Caenorhabditis elegans: one gene and its partners. The protein of the gene in region 4 purifies or fractionates together with the protein of the main gene of each other region. This does not show direct contact. Each region holds a gene or a part of one and is shown on either strand. Other genes may lie near its edges. The genes, in order: cox-6A, cox-5B, nduf-9 and sucl-1.

The links.
Region 1: the proteins of sucl-1 (region 4) and cox-6A fractionate together in Caenorhabditis elegans (co-fractionation; one large-scale study listed by BioGRID). This does not show direct contact.
Region 2: the proteins of sucl-1 (region 4) and cox-5B fractionate together in Caenorhabditis elegans (co-fractionation; one large-scale study listed by BioGRID). This does not show direct contact.
Region 3: the proteins of sucl-1 (region 4) and nduf-9 fractionate together in Caenorhabditis elegans (co-fractionation; one large-scale study listed by BioGRID). This does not show direct contact.

What each region holds. Positions count from the first base shown.
Region 1 is NC_003281.10:5,079,832-5,083,533, forward strand, and holds cox-6A (Cytochrome c oxidase subunit 6A, mitochondrial), read left to right. Parts: upstream 1-1,894; 5' UTR 1,895-1,903; coding exon 1,904-2,039; intron 2,040-2,106; coding exon 2,107-2,258; intron 2,259-2,927; coding exon 2,928-3,026; 3' UTR 3,027-3,156; downstream 3,157-3,702. Other genes in the region: alh-1 (Aldehyde dehydrogenase domain-containing protein), read left to right, coding at 1-524, 586-674; cah-1 (Putative carbonic anhydrase-like protein 1), read right to left, coding at 3,375-3,518, 3,566-3,702. UniProt on the Caenorhabditis elegans protein: Component of the cytochrome c oxidase, the last enzyme in the mitochondrial electron transport chain which drives oxidative phosphorylation.
Region 2 is NC_003279.8:9,787,042-9,790,354, forward strand, and holds cox-5B (COX5B-domain-containing protein), read left to right. Parts: upstream 1-1,967; coding exon 1,968-2,153; intron 2,154-2,179; exon of another isoform or gene 2,180-2,449; intron 2,450-2,458; coding exon 2,459-2,558; intron 2,559-2,609; coding exon 2,610-2,722; 3' UTR 2,723-2,810; downstream 2,811-3,313. Other genes in the region: tba-1 (Tubulin alpha chain), read right to left, coding at 1-66, 117-349, 582-583.
Region 3 is NC_003281.10:3,242,574-3,250,225, forward strand, and holds the start of nduf-9 (NADH dehydrogenase [ubiquinone] 1 alpha subcomplex subunit 9, mitochondrial), read right to left. Parts: upstream 6,003-7,652; 5' UTR 6,001-6,002; coding exon 5,840-6,000; intron 5,711-5,839; coding exon 5,500-5,710; intron 5,211-5,499; coding exon 5,155-5,210; intron 4,590-5,154; coding exon 4,247-4,589; intron 1,286-4,246; coding exon 1,131-1,285; intron 526-1,130; coding exon 408-525; intron 1-407. Other genes in the region: Y53G8AL.4 (Apple domain-containing protein), read right to left, coding at 6,794-6,979, 7,198-7,271.
Region 4 is NC_003284.9:14,752,285-14,756,611, forward strand, and holds sucl-1 (Succinate--CoA ligase [ADP/GDP-forming] subunit alpha, mitochondrial), read left to right. Parts: upstream 1-1,741; 5' UTR 1,742-1,747; coding exon 1,748-1,793; intron 1,794-1,838; coding exon 1,839-1,927; intron 1,928-2,224; coding exon 2,225-2,602; intron 2,603-2,723; coding exon 2,724-2,895; intron 2,896-3,023; coding exon 3,024-3,244; intron 3,245-3,469; coding exon 3,470-3,532; 3' UTR 3,533-3,790; downstream 3,791-4,327. Other genes in the region: C05G5.5 (Metalloprotease TIKI homolog), read right to left, coding at 3,791-3,974. UniProt on the Caenorhabditis elegans protein: Succinyl-CoA synthetase functions in the citric acid cycle (TCA), coupling the hydrolysis of succinyl-CoA to the synthesis of either ATP or GTP and thus represents the only step of substrate-level phosphorylation in the TCA.

The DNA of each region.
Region 1 (3,702 bases), on a different chromosome or scaffold from region 4:
TCAAGGACAGTGCTGTTGTGCCGGATCCAGAACATTTGTCGAAGGAAAGATCTATGATGATTTCGTAGCTCGTTCCAAGGAATTGGCCGAGAAGGCTGTTATCGGAGATCCATTTGATTTGAAAACTACTCAAGGACCACAAGTTGACGGAAAGCAGGTTGAGACTATTTTAAAATATATCGCTGCTGGAAAGAAGGATGGAGCTCAATTGGTGACTGGAGGAGCCAAACACGGAGATCAAGGACACTTTGTGAAGCCAACTATCTTCGCTAATGTTAAGGATCAGATGACTATTGCTCAAGAAGAAATCTTTGGACCTGTTATGACTATCATTAGATTCGACACAATGGAAGAATTAGTTGAAAAGGCTAATAACACTATTTATGGATTGGCTGCTGGAGTTATGACTAAGGATATTGATAAGGCACTTCATATTGCCAACGCAACCAGAGCTGGATCTGTCTGGGTTAATTGTTACGATGTGTTCGATGCTGCTGCTCCATTCGGAGGATTCAAGCAGTCCGGTAAGCTAATTTATTATTAAAATTTCTCCATGCCAAAGTTAAAAAATACTTTTTCTTTTAGGAATCGGTCGCGAACTCGGAGAATATGGTCTTGAGGCATACACTGAAGTAAAGACTGTCACCATCAAGGTTCCACAGAAGAACTCATAAATTTCTTGAATTTTCGCTTTCCCTGTAATTTTTGTTCCTTTTGCTTTTTTTTTTGAAAAATGTTTATTGCTCTTAATATACGTGTTGTATTTATCTATTTTTCACATATATTGAAAAAGAATTCTGAAAGAAATAGACACCTACAGGACGACTCATAAAAGTCTCGACTTCTTTGTGAATTGATTGATTCAGGACAAACGAATTATTACTCTGTACATTAGAGGATCAGTCGTAAAATCTTCAAAAGGCAAAAATTTTACGAGCTTCCGGTAGGTTACGCGAAATTTTAAAAAAAATTTGGAACGCTTCACGAATTTGCGTGTCATCCTTGCGCAGGGGCCATGCTAATCTTCTCTGTATTGTTCCAATTTTAGTATATGTTCTCGGAAGAACGAGACAGCCAGGACCAGTTGTTGCTTATATAGTGGCCACCTGCAAGGCGGCAGACATCTCGTGGGTTCCGCAATTCTCCGTCAAGCAACTCAAAAAGGGCAAGAATCGAACCAAAACTTGATACTTATTTCCGTCAATAACTTTTTAGCCAATGAATCGATATTAATAATTTTTTATGTGTTCGTTCTACATGTCATGTTTTAACAGGTAACAAAGTTTCAGAAAATTTGAAGCATTTCTAACGGAGATAATAGGCAAATTAGACAGCATGTTGCAGCACAATTATTTCACACACCTTAAAGGCGCACGCCATTTCACCGGCTGGTCTCGCAGCGAAGACGGCCTCTCCGTTATTTTCTCTTGAGGAAACGTGCGTTTCTGTGGTTTTACTTCACAAACAGTGCTTTTATTGATTATTTTTGAGTTTCAAATGATTAAATTACAAATTATGAATTTTTTAACCACAATAGCATATAAACCGCAGCCGTAAATCGATATTGTTCGACTAGAAATTCCACTTTTTCGAATTCAAATCTGCAAGTGTTCAACCATGTCATTCAATCATTATTGTCGGGTTTAAATTTCTAAAATTCTTCATAGCAATTATTAGGTTTCTTAAGACGTAAGAAAAACCTCATTTGTTTTTATTTTGTGAGTTTGTTTTATTGCTTTTTCTGATTTAAAAATCACAATTTTGTACTTTTTCATCAAATCACCTGATTTTTCTCTTTTTTTCTCAATTTTCACGTAAACAAGTTTGTTCCCCCTCCTTCTCCCCCCGCGTTCCGTTTTTCTCACAAATCTCAACTTCATTTCAAATTTTAAAGGTATCCGACATGAACCGTCTCGCTCAACCAGCTACCCGCTCGGTCGTCAAGACCTTCCAACGCAAATCCTCAGGATCATTTTACGGATCCAACAATGTCGAAGGATTCAAAGAGTCATATGTCACTCCACTCAAGCAAGCTCACAGTAAGTGTTTTTTTTTAAAATAAATAGTTTCTATTTTGATGTTCAAAGATTAAAATATATTTTTCAGATGCTAGCGAGACCTGGAAGAAAATCTTCTTCATTGCTTCGATTCCATGCTTGGCTCTTACCATGTATGCCGCCTTCAAGGATCACAAAAAACACATGAGCCACGAACGCCCAGAGCACGTCGAGTACGCCTTCTTGAACGTTCGCAACAAGGTAAAATATTCGTTTTTATCTTGAAATCTGCCATAGTTTAAAATTTTACTTAAAAAATGTTATTTAGCTTTCATGTCTTCCTCATTAAAGAAGTTATCGGCAAACTGTTTAAAAATGTCATCTTTCTGGCATTTTTCAAACTAAAAAGGATGACTGTGAAGTTTAATAATATTCAAAACGAATTAAAAAAAAAACAGTCGCTTTTTTGGAATTTTAATTTCTACAATCAAGCTTTTAAATGATTATACAATTTTATAATTTGGCGTTTTCTCAGTAATTAAAAAAAACGATTGGTCTCAATAAATTCCCAAGATGGTTAAAAATTTCAAAAAAAGAGTAAGAAAAATTTTAGCTAAATCTCCAATTTAGCCAACATGTTCTAGTTGCAGCTGCTGGAATACAGTTTTATTGAATTATTGTTTTGGTCTATCAGACTAAAATTGACCTAAATCGACGGAATAACGTAAAATTAACAACCAAAACATGAAAAAAGGATGATAATAAAATAAATACTCATTTCCGACGTTTGCAACACAGAAAAGTTGACAAAATTAAAGATTTTAGCAAAAACTTTCCTACTTTTTTGCAATTTAGAATCGCCAACATTTTTTTCTTGAAAATCAATCAATCCATTCTGAAAATGCATTCCTAATAAATATTCAATTTCAGCCATTCCCATGGTCCGATGGAAATCACTCATTGTTCCACAACAAGGCGGAGCAATTTGTTCCAGGAGTTGGATTCGAGGCTGACCGTGAGAAGCACTAAACAATGCTGGACGATACAATTAATCATCATATTTAACGTCATCCATTTGTGTGTGTGCTTCGAGTTGTTTAGTTTAACAAAACGAGACATGTTTTGCGCAAGTGTAGTTTCAGAATTGTATAAAAAGTCGAAAAAATTATTGCAAAACAAGAACAATTTGAAAAATATTCGTGAGAAATCTTTGAGCAAAGTCGGGAGTTTTCTTTTCAGACAAATGGATTATTGTGGCGACGAGAAGAATGCTGTTGTTTTGGCAGTGGCAAATGATTTGCACGATAGTGGATTTTATTCACTGAGACATTGCAATTGTAGCTCATCTGGAATTCAAATAATTTTCTTCAGATATTTTTATGAAAGAAATATCCAAACCTTGTGCTGAATATTTGTTCTTACTAGTCGATTGTTAGTTTCTTGAATTTTCCTGAAATTTGGGGCAACGGGGACTTTCTCGGCGCCTTCCATGCTCAGATATAAGTGTGACCACTCCTCGAACTGTAAATTTAGAATCAAAGTTTTTTATAGACTATTAAAAAACTTACATGCTCCTTTTTGATAAAAATAGGTTGATTCAGAATAATCCAAGTGACAGTCTCATGGCATCCAGGAGAAGTGAGAGATCCTTCATAAGTGATAATATCTCTAGTGAATGGAAGAAGTCGCCAAGGTTCGAAATCAG
Region 2 (3,313 bases), on a different chromosome or scaffold from region 4:
CTTCCTTTCCGGTGATCATCTGTTCTGGATGGAACAGCTTCTTGTAGGTTCCAGTGCGGATCTCATCTGAAAAAAAAAACAAATTTGAATTTGAAACGGTTTTTATTATTGCTTACCAACAACAGTTGGCTCAAGATCTACAAAAATCGATCTTGGAACATATCTTCCGTTTCCAGTATCGGAGAAGAAGGTGGTGAAAGATTCTCCATCGGCTTGTTGGTCTGATGGCATAGTTCCATCGGGCTGGATTCCATGCTCGAGACAGTAGAGCTCCCAGCAAGCATTACCGATTTGGACTCCGGCTTGTCCGACGTGGATGGAGATGACCTCACGCATGTTGAAAACGAACCTGAAAATTAACGGAAATTAGAAGAAATGAAATCATAAATGAACGCGGATAACATATGGCGTAAAGTACGAATGATAAAATCATAGGAGTCGATCAACTAGGAAACAAGGTCAACTCAATTATAAATAATCCTGTTGACAATTCCGGCTGAATAGTTTTCAGGGCAATAAACCAGATATAAACTTGGTACAAGGTTTACAACAAGTAAATAAAAACAAAACCAGGAACTTACATTAGTTAACGAGATGGAGAAGGTTTGGGATATAAAATTTATGAGCCTCCAAATGAAACAAACCCAATTGCATACATATGAAATGCTAGCTCTCAAGAGTATTGCGAAATAGCGAAAAAGACTCGGACCGTTGAAAACAGAGAGCAATTACGCCCATTGCATCGTGGTACATACACAGCAGTCAAACCCTATTGGGTTCTATGCATCTAGTCAAATGAGAAATGAAAGTCGGGCTGGGAAAGAAAACAGAGCTCTTCGTCATTAGATATTCTGGTGCGAGGAAAGGGTAAAACAACTCAAATTGGAAGACTAAAGACGACAATCTTTTCTGCCTTGCTCTAGACATCTGTCACTTGGATGAAACTGGTCAGAGAGGCAGTGCCGGGTCAGAGAGAGGAACGAGCGACGCTTGTCCGATTGGCCAAGGACAGCGGCGACCCTATTCCTCGGTGGACATGACTAGTAGTGGCCATCTGGTGTATATTGCGAAATAGGTTCTCCACTAAACCTTAATCCGATGTTCATGATATAGACGCTTGGATGTCCTATTCATGAAAATGCAAATATTCATCGGGACGATTCAGATTTCAATGCAAAAAATAATAAAACGAAGTTTAAGTTTCAGTAAATAAGCTATGATAAAATAAATAAAAATTAAAAACATCACAAGCAATAGCACGTAACTAAAGTAGAAGCCGAAATGCAAATCTATAATGATTTTATTAGCCGCTGGAGAAACGAATTCCCTAAAACTAAAGATTCTATTGAACACACAAGTTGCAATATAATCAAGAAAATTTGTTAACAAACAATAAAATGTGGCTCAATATTTACAGCATGTGTAGACAACGAGTCAACTTTCAAACAACTCCATTTTAGGAGCAAATCGAAGAGAGAGAATACGAGCGATTGAGAAGCGAAAAATGAGAAAGAATGACAGCCATCTCCCAATCCTATTGTCGTCTGTTTCGCGCCAAAAAAAGTGAAAATTTCTCCCGAGCGCGCCTAGTGGACGAAACGAATTCAAATCCTCTTCGCATTACGGTGTTTCGTATTGAGGAGCGTCTTGTGCGTTGCAACAGACGCGCGTAGTGTATGCCGAGTGTACGCCGAGTGTACGCCCGCCACTGAGGCTCCGTAAATCGTGCCAAGCGTTTTTGGCTCTTTTCGGCTATTGTTCGCATTTTCAAGGGTCCAATCAGAATATAAGTGTTCTTCAAAAAATTTCTGATTTTTCAAGAGGTTTATCTTTTAATTTAACCCTATTTCAATAAGGCCACCTTCCTTTTTTGATTTTTAGACTCCCGATCGATAATTTTCTTCATTCGAAATCGAATTTATATTTAGTCGTTTTTGATACTTGAGAAATACAATTGTATTTTTCAGATGGCTCAACTTGCTAAGACGGCTGTTGCCGCCCTTTCGAAGAAGCTCGTCGCTCCAGCTGCCGTGGCCCGTCGTACTTTGGCCACTGAAGCCTCGCCAGAAGACTACGGATACTACCCAGATCCACTTGAGCACGCTACCGGACGTGAAAAGAAGATGCTTCTCGCTCGTCTTGCTGGAGATGATGTGAGTTTTTGTTAATAAAATTTAACAATTTTCCCAATAATTTCCAAAGTATACCCCATGATGTATCAATTTAGCTAATTGTGAGCTACTTCGCTCTCGAGATTTTGTCTTGAAGTGTGAGTCGTATTGAACGAACTTTGTCGAAGCTGATCTGAGGGAGATTTGCAATTTGAGTCGTTATCGTATCTAATACTGGTTTTTAATGAGAAAGTGTTTACAAAATGAAACCCATTTAGTAAAAGTGGCAAATTATCTACTATTTCTTCATCTTTTCAAAGTTAAATAATAAAAGTTTCATTCTTCAGCGTTACGAGCCAAAAGTCTACTATCGCGCTGAGGCTTCCACCAAGCAGAAGCCAAATTTGGTCCCATCTCACTACGACTTCAGAATCATTGGATGCATGTGTAAGTTATATTTAAAAGCATGATTGATTCAATTAAACAACTATTTTTCAGGTGAGCAAGATTCCGGACATGTCAATTTCATGACAATTCGCAAAGGAGATCCAAAGAGATGCGAGTGCGGACACTGGTTCAAGGGAGTCGACGCCGACCCAGAATCCATCTAAACAATTTTCAATGTAGATTATTGTTCCGACTTATTTTAGATCGCTCCATCAGTGAAAATAAAACGCGCTGGTTTGAAGACAAACCATTCTGTTTCTAGAGTTGGTTCAATTCGTTTCTTTGTTTTTCGTCAAGATGTCTCCTATTTCTGTAAATTAATTTTTTATCAATTTAACCTACATTTCTTACATGAAAAAATGTTCTTCGTAGGTTTTCCCTGACAATCTCCTGGATTAGGTGGTTAATGTTAAAAATGAACAAAACAGGTGGAAACAACAATCAATGATGCTGTTTCTCCCGTCAACCTCCACAGAATCTAGCTGATAAAAATCTGAGTTCAGATGCCTCGCTCCTCTCATTTTGTTATTGGTTTTCAAAATCACGTGCTGTCACTAGCACATACAATTTTGTTTTTAAATTGGCAATTGTTTGCCTTCATTTCAACAATTTTAAGCTTTCGTGTTGTCGTAGATCGAATTTATACATTTAGAGCCCAGGCTTGAGCATTACATCAAAAAGTAATAACTCACTTCTTCAAAACATTTCCAATTTTCGAACCATTAGTGACTTCCTTTTTCATTTTATCATTTAAA
Region 3 (7,652 bases), on a different chromosome or scaffold from region 4:
ATTTCCGTAAATTATCGATTTTATTCGCTAAATTTTTTTTTCAAAAAAAAAAATCAATAAAATCCATTTTTCGACTAAAAATCGATAATTTTGAAAAAATTTTCGATTTTTTTCGAATTTTTTTGATGAAAATCGGGTTGTTTCCGCCACTTCTACAAAAAAAATTCCTCAAAATTGTGCCTACGCCTACCTGATTTAACAATTCAACGGTAGGCACAAGGCAGGCGTAGGTAGGCTTTCCGAAATTTCCAATTTTTTGACTCAAAAATCAGTTTTTTTTAAGTGTTTTTCACTTAAAAAATGGATTTTTCCGTAAAAATTGCCCGATTTTTGGCGGAAAACCGATTTTTAATTAAAAAAATCTAAAATTTGAGGCGTTTTTGCTCATTTTAAGCCCTAAAACCTACCACAAACTCCATCCATTCTCTGTTGAGTGGAACTTTACACTTGAACACTTTACCATAGAGTTCGGTGGCCATTGTGAGAGCCATGAAATATGGATCCGGCATTCCGTGACGCTTGTATCTGCAAAAATTTGAGCTTTTTCTCGGGTCCCGCCACGAAAATAATTGAAAAATTCGCGATTTTTCTCGAAATTTCACGCCTGGGTCCCGCCGCCACGAAACAATACCTCGCGGGTTACTGTACTCAAGAAATTTTTTTTTTTCAACTTTTTCGTGGCGAGACCCAAAAAAAAATGTAGTTTTCACGATTTTTACGTCTAAATTTATATTTTTTAGCCAATTTTCATAAAGTTCACGTTAAAAATCATCAATTTTCAGTGAAAATATTGATTTTTTTGATTTTTTAAGGTCTCGCCACGGAATAATATCTCGCGGGTTACTGTACTCGTGAAATTTTCGTTGCGAGACCCGATTAAAGCTACAAGCCTAGAATTTTGAGGAGAATTCGAATTTTCAAAATTTCCTGATTGATGCACAACCCATGTGCCTTTAAATTTGAAAAAAATAAAGTTTTCGTGGCGAGACCCAGTTTTCACGATTTTTAAGTCCAATTTTCATGAATTTCTCGTTAAAAATTATCAATTTTCATGATTTTTTTGCCCAAAAATTAGCAATTTTCCTTCATTTTAGGCCAATTTTCGGCGGGAAAATCGAAAAACCGGGTACCTGAATCCAAAATCAGACAAACAATGCGCTTTTTTGTACATGAAATCAATCAATTCAGACAATTGATAGCAGTGTGGTCCAACAAATTCATAAGTATGTCCTTTTGCTGTTGGATCATTTACAGCACTTTGAATTCCGGCGGCAACGTCTCCAACCTGCAAGAAAATCGGAATTTTTCGCCAATTTTCTCGAAATTTTGATCAATTTCGTTGAAAACTCGGCAAAAAATGGTAAATTTTGAGCCAAAATTTGCAAATTTCTGTGAATTTTTTTTGAAATTTTACGGATTTTCACTCCTTTTAATGAAATTTCGCGCGAAAATACCGTTTTTTAATGGAATTTAACCAAAAAATTCAATATATATACTTGCCATTTTTAGCAATGTTTCAACAATTTTTTTCAAGTGAATATGGGAAATTACCGAAAATTGGAATTGATAACATTTTTAAACGATTTTTTGTATGTTTTTCGTCAAAAATCGTCAATTTTCTTCAAAATTTTCAATTTTGGACCAAATTTCAGCCATTTTTTGTCATTTTTGGCCAATTTAAACGTTTTTAAAGCTTTTTTTTTTATTTCGCTTATTTTCGCAAATTCCACCGTTTATAGGCAGTTTTAGGCCGAATTGTATGTATTTCGAGTAATTTTTTGAATTTTCAAACAAATTGGGCCTATTTTGAACAATTTTCACTCATTTTTGGCCGATTTTTCTTTTTTAAACTAAAACTAAAAACTAAAAAAGCAACCTGCAAGAAAATCGAGATTTTTTTAGTGATTTTTCGCCGATTTTCTCGAAATTTTGATCAATTTCGTTGAAAATTCGGCAAAAAATGGTAAATTTTGAGTTATTTTTACTGAAATTGTGCGAAAAATGAATTGAATTTTGGCAAAAATTCAAGGTTTTGAGTCAAAATATCCAAAATTTGGTCATTTTTCGCAATAAAATGGTGCCTACTTATGCCTACCATCAATTTTTTTTCGGCAGAAATGGACAATTTTAAGCCAAAATTTGCAAATTTCGGTGAATTTTTCTGAAAAAATCATCATTTTTGATGGAATTTAAGCAAAAATTCGAGATTTTCAGTCAAAATTTGTCATTTTTAGCAATTTTTTGACAATTTTCTGTGTGAAAATCGAAAATTTTGTTACATTTTTGAGGAGAAAACGATTTTTGCCAAAATTCTACCAATTTTCGACTAGTTTTATCAAATTTTGGGTGAAATTCCGAAAATTTTCAGTTTTGTGCCAAATTTCAGCCATTTTCAGTCATTTTTGGACAATTTAAATGGTTTTAAAGCTTTTTTTCATAAAATTTCGCAAATTCCAGCGTTTATAGGTAACTTTAAGCCTCATTTCCTTGAATTTTGAAATTTTTTTTCTCTAATTTTTAAGCAAATTAAATAAATTCCATCAATTTTTAGCGAATTTCACATATTTTGAGCAACTTTATATGAAATTTCGAGACTTTTCATAAATATTTGGACTCATTTTAATTGTATTAAAAGCCAATTTTTATGAATTTTGACATTTTTCAGTTCATTTGGATTTATTGTAATGAATTTTGAGTCATTTTTTTCAATTTCAAGCGAATTTTCATGAAATTTCGTAGATTTAGACCGATTTTCACGGATTTTCGACTTTTTATTTTTAAAATTCAGTTATTAGGTCAAATTACACCATTTTTGGCCGAGGTTTTGAGTCAAAATATGCGAAATTTGGACATTTTTTGCATTTTTTCGCAAAAAAAAAATTGTGCCTACTTTATGCCTACCGCCGCCTACCATCAATTTTTTTTCGGCAAAAATGGACAATTTTAAGCCAAAATTTGCAAATTTCGGTGAATTTTTCTGGAATTTTACCGATTTTTACATTTTGATGAAATTTAAGCAAAAATTCAAGTTTTTCAGTCAAAATTTGTCATTTTTAGCAATTTTTTGACAATTTTCTGTGTGAAAATACGATTTTTGCCGAAATTCTACCAATTTTCGACTAGTTTTATCAAATTTTATGAAATTTTGGGTGAAATTCCGAAAATTTTCAATTTTGTGCCAAATTTCAGCCATTTTCAGTCATTTTTGGCCAATTTAAATGGTTTTAAGGCTTTTTTTTCATAAAATTTCGCAAATTACAGCGTTTCTCGAATTTTGAGTAATTTTTCCGATTTTCAAACAAAAATTGGTCATATTTTGAACAATTTTCAGTAATTTTTGGCCGATTTGTTGGAATTTTTGACTTTTTAAATTTAAAATTCAATTTTTAGACGGACTTATGCCAATTTCCTTGAATTTTGAAATTTTTTTCTAATTTTTAAGCAAATTAAATAAATTCCAGCAATTTTTAGCGAATTTCACGTATTTTGAGCAACTTTATATGAAATTTCGAGACTTTTCATAAATATTTGGACTCATTTTATTTGTATTAGGCCAATTTTTATGAATTTTGACATTTTTCAGTTCATTTGGATTTATTGTAATGAATTTTGAGTCATTTTTCTCAATTTCAAGCGAATTTTCATGAAATTTCGTAGATTTAGACCGATTTTCACGGATTTTCGACTTTTTATTTTTAAAATTCAGTTATTAGGTCAAATTACACCATTTTTCTCGATTTTCATGAAATTTTCTACTTTAAAAAAAAATTTTTTTTCGTCATTTTTGGCCGATTTTCACGTATTTTAGGTCATTTTTCATGAATTTTCGCCCAATTTTCAATATTCAAACAATTTTCAGCCATTTTTGAATTTTTATTGACTAAAATTCAGTTTTTTGGTCAAATTACTTCAATTTTTTTGAATTTTAAGTAATTGTTCAGCATTTTTGGCGAATTTCACGTATTTTGAGCTTTTTTTAAAATGTATTTTATGAAATTTTGATTAATTTCGTTCAAAATTCGGTTGAAAATGGATTTTTCTATAATTTTAATCAATATTAACGGAAAATAAAATTTTTTTGACAATTTTTAATGTGAAAATCGTAAATTTTCAAAAAATCTCGGTTTTTGTGAGTTTTTCGTTAAAATATTTAATTTTGTGCCAAATTTCAGCCATTTTCAGTCATTTTCGGCCAATTTTCACGTATTTTAGGTCATTTTTCATGAATTATCGGCCAATTCCGTACCCAAATCGGCATTTTATACGTTTCTTCTCCCTTCTTGTACAAATACACATAATCCAATGGAGTTTTTCGCCATCTTGACACATAATATTGAATAAATCCATCCAATTCACCGTAGATCACAGATGGGCGAATAATTGTTGCTTCTGGGAATTCTTCACGTACAGCAACTTCTCCGAGTCCTTTTGAATGAAGAAATTGCGATTTTGCGACAAAATGTCCCTTTTGTGGTTGTGTAGTTGCTCCGAGAGCCGACAAATGCACAAATTTCTCCACACCCATTTCTTTGCAAATTCGAGCCAAACGGCGGGCTCCCGTGTCGTTGACGTCATAGTAATTGTACTTTCTGCAAGGAAAAATGGCTTAAAATTGGGATTTTTAGAAGGAAAAAGTGGGGAAATTTGAATTTTTCAATAGAAAATGGCAGTTTTCTCGAAAATTTTGGAGAAAAATTGAGCAATTTAGTTTTTTTTGAATTTTTTAAAAATATTTTTTGAATTTTCAGTGAAAAAAACGGCGCGAAACTCAAAATTTTGAAGATTTTTCGGACATTTTTCAAATTTTTAGCCAAAAAGTGGAGCCAAATTCAAAATTTAAGGGGATTTTTCAATTTTTAATTGATTTTCAGTTGGAAAAAGTGAGGAATTTTGAGTTTTTCAATGAAAAAACTGGAAAAAAAGAGCTTTTTTTTTGAATTTTGAATGATAATTTGGTGTAAAAAAATTTATTTTTTGAATTTTCAGTAGGAAAAAAGGGTTAAATTCCACATTTTGAAGGTTTTTCAGGCATTTTTTCGAATTTTCAGCGAAAAAGAGTGATTTATTTGGTCAAAAACGGCGCGAAATTTGAATTTTTTGAATTTCCGGCATATTTTGTGAATTTTTCCGCTCAAAAATCTGCAATTTCCTCACCCAGTCGGCACACGAGTTCCGATCAAGTTGATGACGACGTTCGAGTACTTTACAGCCTGAAAAATTGATTTTTTCTGGATTTTCTAGAGAAAAATCCAATTTTTCTCGATTTTCACCTAGAAAACTCTTTTTTTTTCGGAATTTTCTAGAGAAAAAACCTAATTTTTCTCGATTTTCACTGAGAAAACTCTATTTTTTCTGAATTTTCTAAAGAAAAACCCATTTTTTCTCGATTTTCACTGAGAAAACTCTATTTTTTCTGGATTTTCTAGAGAAAAATCCAATTTTTCTCGATTTTCACCTAGAAAACTCGATTTTTCTCTCAATTTCCACGAATTTTAATACCTTTCGAATGCTCTCCTCATCCATCAGCTCAAATGGAAAATAGAGGACTTGTCCGAGCTCGCCGAGCACTTTGTGCTCTCTCATGTAATACGGATCCTGGCGATACGGAATAATGATTTGTGAGCCATTTTTCGCGAATTTATTGACAACTGGAAGTCCCAAGAAGCCTGACGCACCGAATACGGTCACCACATTGCCGGAGAAGGAGGCTCTGCAAAAATTTGGAATTTTTAACGATTTTTTTTGGGAAAAAATTGATTTTTTTTCAATGTTTTTTCAATTTTTCCTAGATTTTTTCCACATTTTCCAGTTTCAAATCATTCTTAGGCTTTTCCTGTACCTTCCACCGGCTCCCTTTCTGAATTGAGCACTCTGAGAGCTGACACGTGGCTCCGGATGAGCATTTTCGGCGGAGGTGACCGCGCTGCTGAAATTCTGACTTCCAACGACCGAAACCGCCTGCCGGGCGCCCAAGCCGGATCTACCCAACACTGATAGCATGGCTGAAATTAGGAAAATCGAGATTTGCAATTGTTTAAAGATTTTTAAAGATTTTTAAAGACTTTTTAAGAATTAAATGGGTTTTCTGCGTTTTTTCGGGATTTTTTCCAGCTAAAAATAGCTTTTCCGGTCGAAAAAATCGATTTTTTATCAAAAAAGCACCGAAAATAGCGAAAAAATCTGGAAAAACCGCTAAAAATGGCTGAAAATGAAGTACGCGGTGCCGAAATAAATAATTTGGCCTGTACGCAATATGGCGTCGGGTTTGACGTTTGCGGACTCGAATGCGCACTTGGAAGGGCGGGGATTGATGACCGTACTCCAAGGAGGAATGAGAAGCTTTGAAATTAGCAAAAATTGGTGAGAAAGGCGGTTTTAAAGAGAGTTTTCAATCTAAATTGTTGAAAAATTAATGAAATATTACTTTTCTTGTTTTACATTCAAGAAAAATTATTAAAATCTTTGAATTAAATAGAAATGCGAAGTTTTCAAGGGATTTCTTCAAAATGTGCGAAATTACAGAAGAATACTGGTAGATTAAACTGAAAATGACATCAAAATTCTCAATTATTAATATTATACGCTATCGAGATAATAAGCATTTATGGCTACAATGTATACGCCTCTCAAAATTACGTTCACATTGCTTTGTGGCTTTGCTGGTAACTCTTTTGCCTTTCACGCAACACACCGGGGTTCGACTCCGCACTGTGGTTCTTTTCTTTTTTTTTCTCGATTTAACCAATTTTAGTCAATTAAAATTCAAATTTAACGATTAAAACCAATTTATTTATCACGTGGAACCCAGAAAAGGAGAAAATTTCGGCCTAAAAAAGTTGAGACACTTGTTAAACGCCGGATTCCTGAAGCAATTCGAGCTGCACTCGGCGGCTAGATTCGGCTGGTCGACTGAAAACATTTCATGGCAAAGTAGGCATATTCTCGTGAGCACTTCGTTTAGAGCCGGTCGTCGGTAAGCCTGGAAATCAAAAAATATTCCGAATTCTTGAAAAAATGCGGAAAAAATCGGCGAAAAACTAGGGTTTTGAATGATTTTTCTCAAATTTTTCAATTTTTTTCAGCGAAATATCGAATAAAAATCGATATATCTCCAGAAACCCCCGAGATTTCCACCATTTAAGCAAAATTCTCAATGGAGCGCGTTTGCAGCTTCGTTGTTCGCTAGAGCGCACTTACTTTGCAGTTCCTCGAATGGTGGTCGGGGCGGGAAAATGAAAATCCGGCAAACGTGACGATAAGTAAGAAGAATACTGGAAAAATCAATGGAATTGTTTAGGCCACAGTGGTTTTTTGGCAGATATTTAGAGTTTTAAAAAATAATTTTCACAGAAACGTTGGCCGAAAGTTAATTTCCAGCGGCGAAATCGCGGAAAAATGGAGCTTTTCGAAGAAAAATTTCGTGGCCTATTTTTTCAGCTGGTTTTTCTTGGCCACGTCTTAAAATTTGAAAAAATTTGATTAAAAAGCAAATTAAGCACGTTTTTCAAAATTAAAAGTGAAGACATAACGCGTTTCTCGAAAAATTTGCAATTTTCTAGAAAAATGCTGCGTGGCCTAACTTTTCCGGTTATTTTTCTAGGCCACGTCTGAAAATTAGTTTTTTATTGAAAAGCAACGAAATTTTTCAAATT
Region 4 (4,327 bases):
ATGTGCGGATTCGGGAGGCTCGGGAGCACACCACCGCCACAAATCAATAAATTGCTGGGAAAGAAGAAGACGAGAGGACGACGGGAGAAAAAAAAACAGCGAAAAACTGGAAAAAAAACGTTTTCACTGCAAGACACGAGACAACTTTCAAGAAAGTTGACCAAACCGTTGAGAGGAGGGAAAACTATAAATTATTTGTAAGCTTTGAGCATAATCTCCAAGAGCGATTGTGCGCACGTGAAACGAATGATTGGGTGATAGAAAAATAAAAATAAAGTCAATTTTGCTGACAGAAATGTTAGTTTTAGATATTCCCTTTTCTCTATGCATATTTTTTTTGTAATTTGAAAACTATTGTTGAAGTTCGTATTTGATCATTGATAGATAAAATGTTCGAGAAAGTTGATTACTCAATTTTTATCATTTTGCAGAAACGAAAACCGAAGAACAGTTTTCTTTTTTTTCTAACAAGCTACCTAATTTTTTCAGTTAGTTAACAGGTTTTTTTTGATATCAGACAAAAAAGATTTGAATATTTGAATCGTTATTTTTAAAGTTAATATTTTAAGACCAAGCATACCTAAAAAATTAATGTCCAACTTATTTCTAATTCAAATTGTAATTTATTAAAATTTGAGGTTAAATTGAAGTCGTAGGCTTATAAAACCACATCTGAATTTTTTGAAATGATTAAAATTTTTGGGGTACGGCTTCTCCATAGGTATTCAAAAATGTTGTTTTTTTTTAATTTTTGAATTCTCAGTATTTTTAAGACTGTGTAAACAAGTAGTTAATTCCACATGTTCTTATTGACTAGCGTATTTTAATAAATGAGTGAACTTATAGACTAAAAATATATGTTTATCAATTTTGAAGCAACAAAAGTATGCAATAAATATTGACAGTTTGGTAAACGGTTGGACCAGAGATATTCAACTTCAAACGCCCTTAGATTGTTTTAAATAATTACGAGAACGGTCACTATGTAACTAAGTCGGTCTGTCTTGAGACTACTACAGCAATAGAAAAATGAAGCTGGAAAACCAATGTTGATTTCTAAAATTGATTACAGATTCAAAGCTGTGATTTGGTTTTGTCTGTGATTTAACAGTGAATTCCTTCCCTGGACAAAGAGTGATCAATTAATTTTTGTAGTTATACTGAAAAAAATTTCATAAAATGAGGGACCACTTCGCACTCCACAAATTTCTATAAATAATGATAATTAAAAGTCCACTTGCCCCAAACACTTTTCTCAAATGTCCACTTCCTCATCCACTGTGATAACTGCCAAAAAAAAAACTACTCGATTGTCTTTCGCCGACTTGGTTTCCAACTTGTGCAACCGCACCACTCACACTCTCCCGGCCGCCGCACAACGTGTGCAGGCACGTTGGAAGAGAGCGAGAACGGACGGGGCAGCGTTGGGCAGTGTCTAATCGTTTGATACTCAGCCAACCAATTGGCTGCGTACGTCCTTGTTTTCTCTGCTGCCTCTCACGCGATACTCACTCTCTACCCTTTTGTTTTGTGTAACACAAGAGTTAGTTGTTTAGATATCAAGGAATCTATTTTTTTTGTTGGTTTTATTTTTGTTTTTGATAAATCTTATTTTTGATGATACAACTACTTTAATCTATCTTTTTTTATTGAAAATAAGCTTTTCACATTTTCATTGCATCTTCTCGATTGCACCGTTCATCTTAAATTTTACGGCAATTGAATAATATCTTTCTTTCAGGGAACCATGTTGAGTCAGCAAATTGCCAACAATGCTAGAACTTTGCAGAAGGGTATGTTTGCCTATTTCATTTAAATCACCTTATTTGTATTTCCAGGAGCTGCTCGTTTCTACAACAGCACTTACAACAACCTGAAAATCAACAAGGACACCAAGGTTATTGTGCAAGGATTCACAGGAAAGCAGGTATACCCGAATAAATTTATGAATGGCGTGGGAGCTTCTGGAGCGATAATATAAACTCAAACACTGACAATACGCTTTATGCAAAATAGAGGTCACAACTCAGCTTCATAAAAAATTACATCTTAAAATGAAAACGCCTGTCTTCGCAACTCACTTTAAATTCAGTGTTTTCAAAGTTCAACGGCTATAAAATTTTAATGTATTCAGATATGCTTTTGACGTCAATACTTTGCGCATAGCGAACTCTTAAAATATCGAAAATATGTATTTCAAAAAAAAAATTCACAAAAATTTCAGGGTACCTTCCATGGAAAGCAAATGCTCGAGTACAACACTAAAGTCGTCGGTGGAGTAAATGCCAACAAGGCCGGAACAGAGCACTTGGGACTCCCGGTCTTCAAGAACGTCTCCGAAGCTCGCAACAAGACCGGAGCCGACGCCTCTGTCATCTACGTTCCAGCCAGTGCTGCCGGTAGCGCCATCGAGGAAGCCATGGACGCCGAGATTCCATTGGTGGTGTGCATCACTGAAGGAATCCCACAACACGATATGGTCCGTGTTAAGTCGCGTCTTCTCAAGCAGAACAAGACAAGACTTGTTGGGCCAAACTGTCCAGGAATCATCTCGGCCGATCAGTGCAAGATCGGAATCATGCCAGGACACATTCACAAGAGAGTAAGTTATAAATATTGTTGTAGAACCCTTTAAAATCCTTCTCAAGTGAAGTTGAACTTCGAAAACATGTTCAGAAATTATCAATTAAAAATTTTATCAAAACTGTTTGCTGAACTTGTAGGGATGCATCGGAATCGTCTCCCGCTCAGGAACTCTCACCTATGAAGCTGTGCACCAGACTACTCAAGTCGGATTCGGACAGACTTTGTGCGTCGGAATTGGAGGCGATCCATTCAATGGAACAAACTTCATCGACTGCTTGAACGTCTTCCTTGAGGATCCAGAAACTAAGGGTGAGCTCATGTTTCATGAAAATAATACCCTAATGTGAACTCAAACAATGTGATTTTGTATTTATCAGTACCCAGAGTAGCCAGTAAAAATTAAAAAAAAAAAGAATATGAAACCAATTATTTTCCAGGAATCATTCTCATCGGAGAAATCGGAGGATCAGCTGAAGAGGAGGCCGCCGCATACCTTAAGGAGCACAACTCGGGAGCCAACAGGAAGCCAGTCGTCTCATTCATTGCCGGAGTCACAGCTCCACCAGGCAGAAGAATGGGACACGCCGGAGCCATCATTTCGGGAGGAAAGGGAACCGCTGCTGACAAGATCAATGCTCTTAGAGAAGCCGGAGTAGTAGTAAGTTTTTACGTTTTTCCAGAATAAAATTTAAAGCTGCACTTTGAAGCTTGGGATATACAGTGTTCTGTTGCAAAAGTTGTCAAAATAATCTAGAACATTTATGAAGTTACACCTTGTTCATGACGATTTACCTTAGAATTTAACTTGAAAAGTCAGCAGGTTTTTAAAGATATTTTGAAAAATTAAACTTGGTTGCTAAAAAAATGCCATAATTTGTTTCAGGTTACCGACTCTCCAGCTAAACTTGGAACCTCCATGGCCACCGCTTTCCTGGGAAAGATCTAAACAGGAACCCTCGCTGATTTAATACTCAACTTGTCTCCCTCCCCCTTTTCTGTAAGAAAATAGCTTACACACTTTTTAGTGATCTTGCGTTTTTAATTTCAATATTTCTATGACTTCTCTCTTTTTTCTCTCTTTCTTGTCTCTTTTTCTCTAATTTTTTAATATGTTTGCCTCTAGATAACTGTGTGGCTGAATTTTTCCGATAAAATGGAAAAATTGCAGTTGTCGCAAACCAATTGATTGAAAGTTGAAAGTTGTTCATGGGAAAATGGCAAAGATGGAATGTAAAAGAAAAATACACGGAACTAGCCATAATCTAGCAATTCGACTGGACGATGGTGCTACTTCTTCGATGATTATTGATTTTCGACGAACTGCGGTTTCCTTGGTCCATACACGTTTGAACTTTGCGGTTTGACGGTAGGGAGATCGTAGGGGTTGACTGAAAATTTGCAGATCAAGAATCAAGAAGAATGTCGGTGGGTTAGATATGATTTCCAAACGCCGTAAAGTTTCATTCGCATGCGGTTTTCAAGTTTGGTAAATCGTCTGATCACGATGCCCATAAACCGCGATCATCTTTCAAAACATTATTGAAACACTAATTTACCAAATTTTAGAAAATCAAAATTTAATCAAACCGATTTTTTCTGCTGCATTAAAAAATTTTAGCAACTGGACCTATGTATCTTTTATATAGTTTCTTCCCTTGTTTAAATTCTGATTCCTATAGAAAAAATGTAAGGCTTTACCTAGGTACCTACTGAGTTACTAAGAGCTTTCTTCCTTCAACTT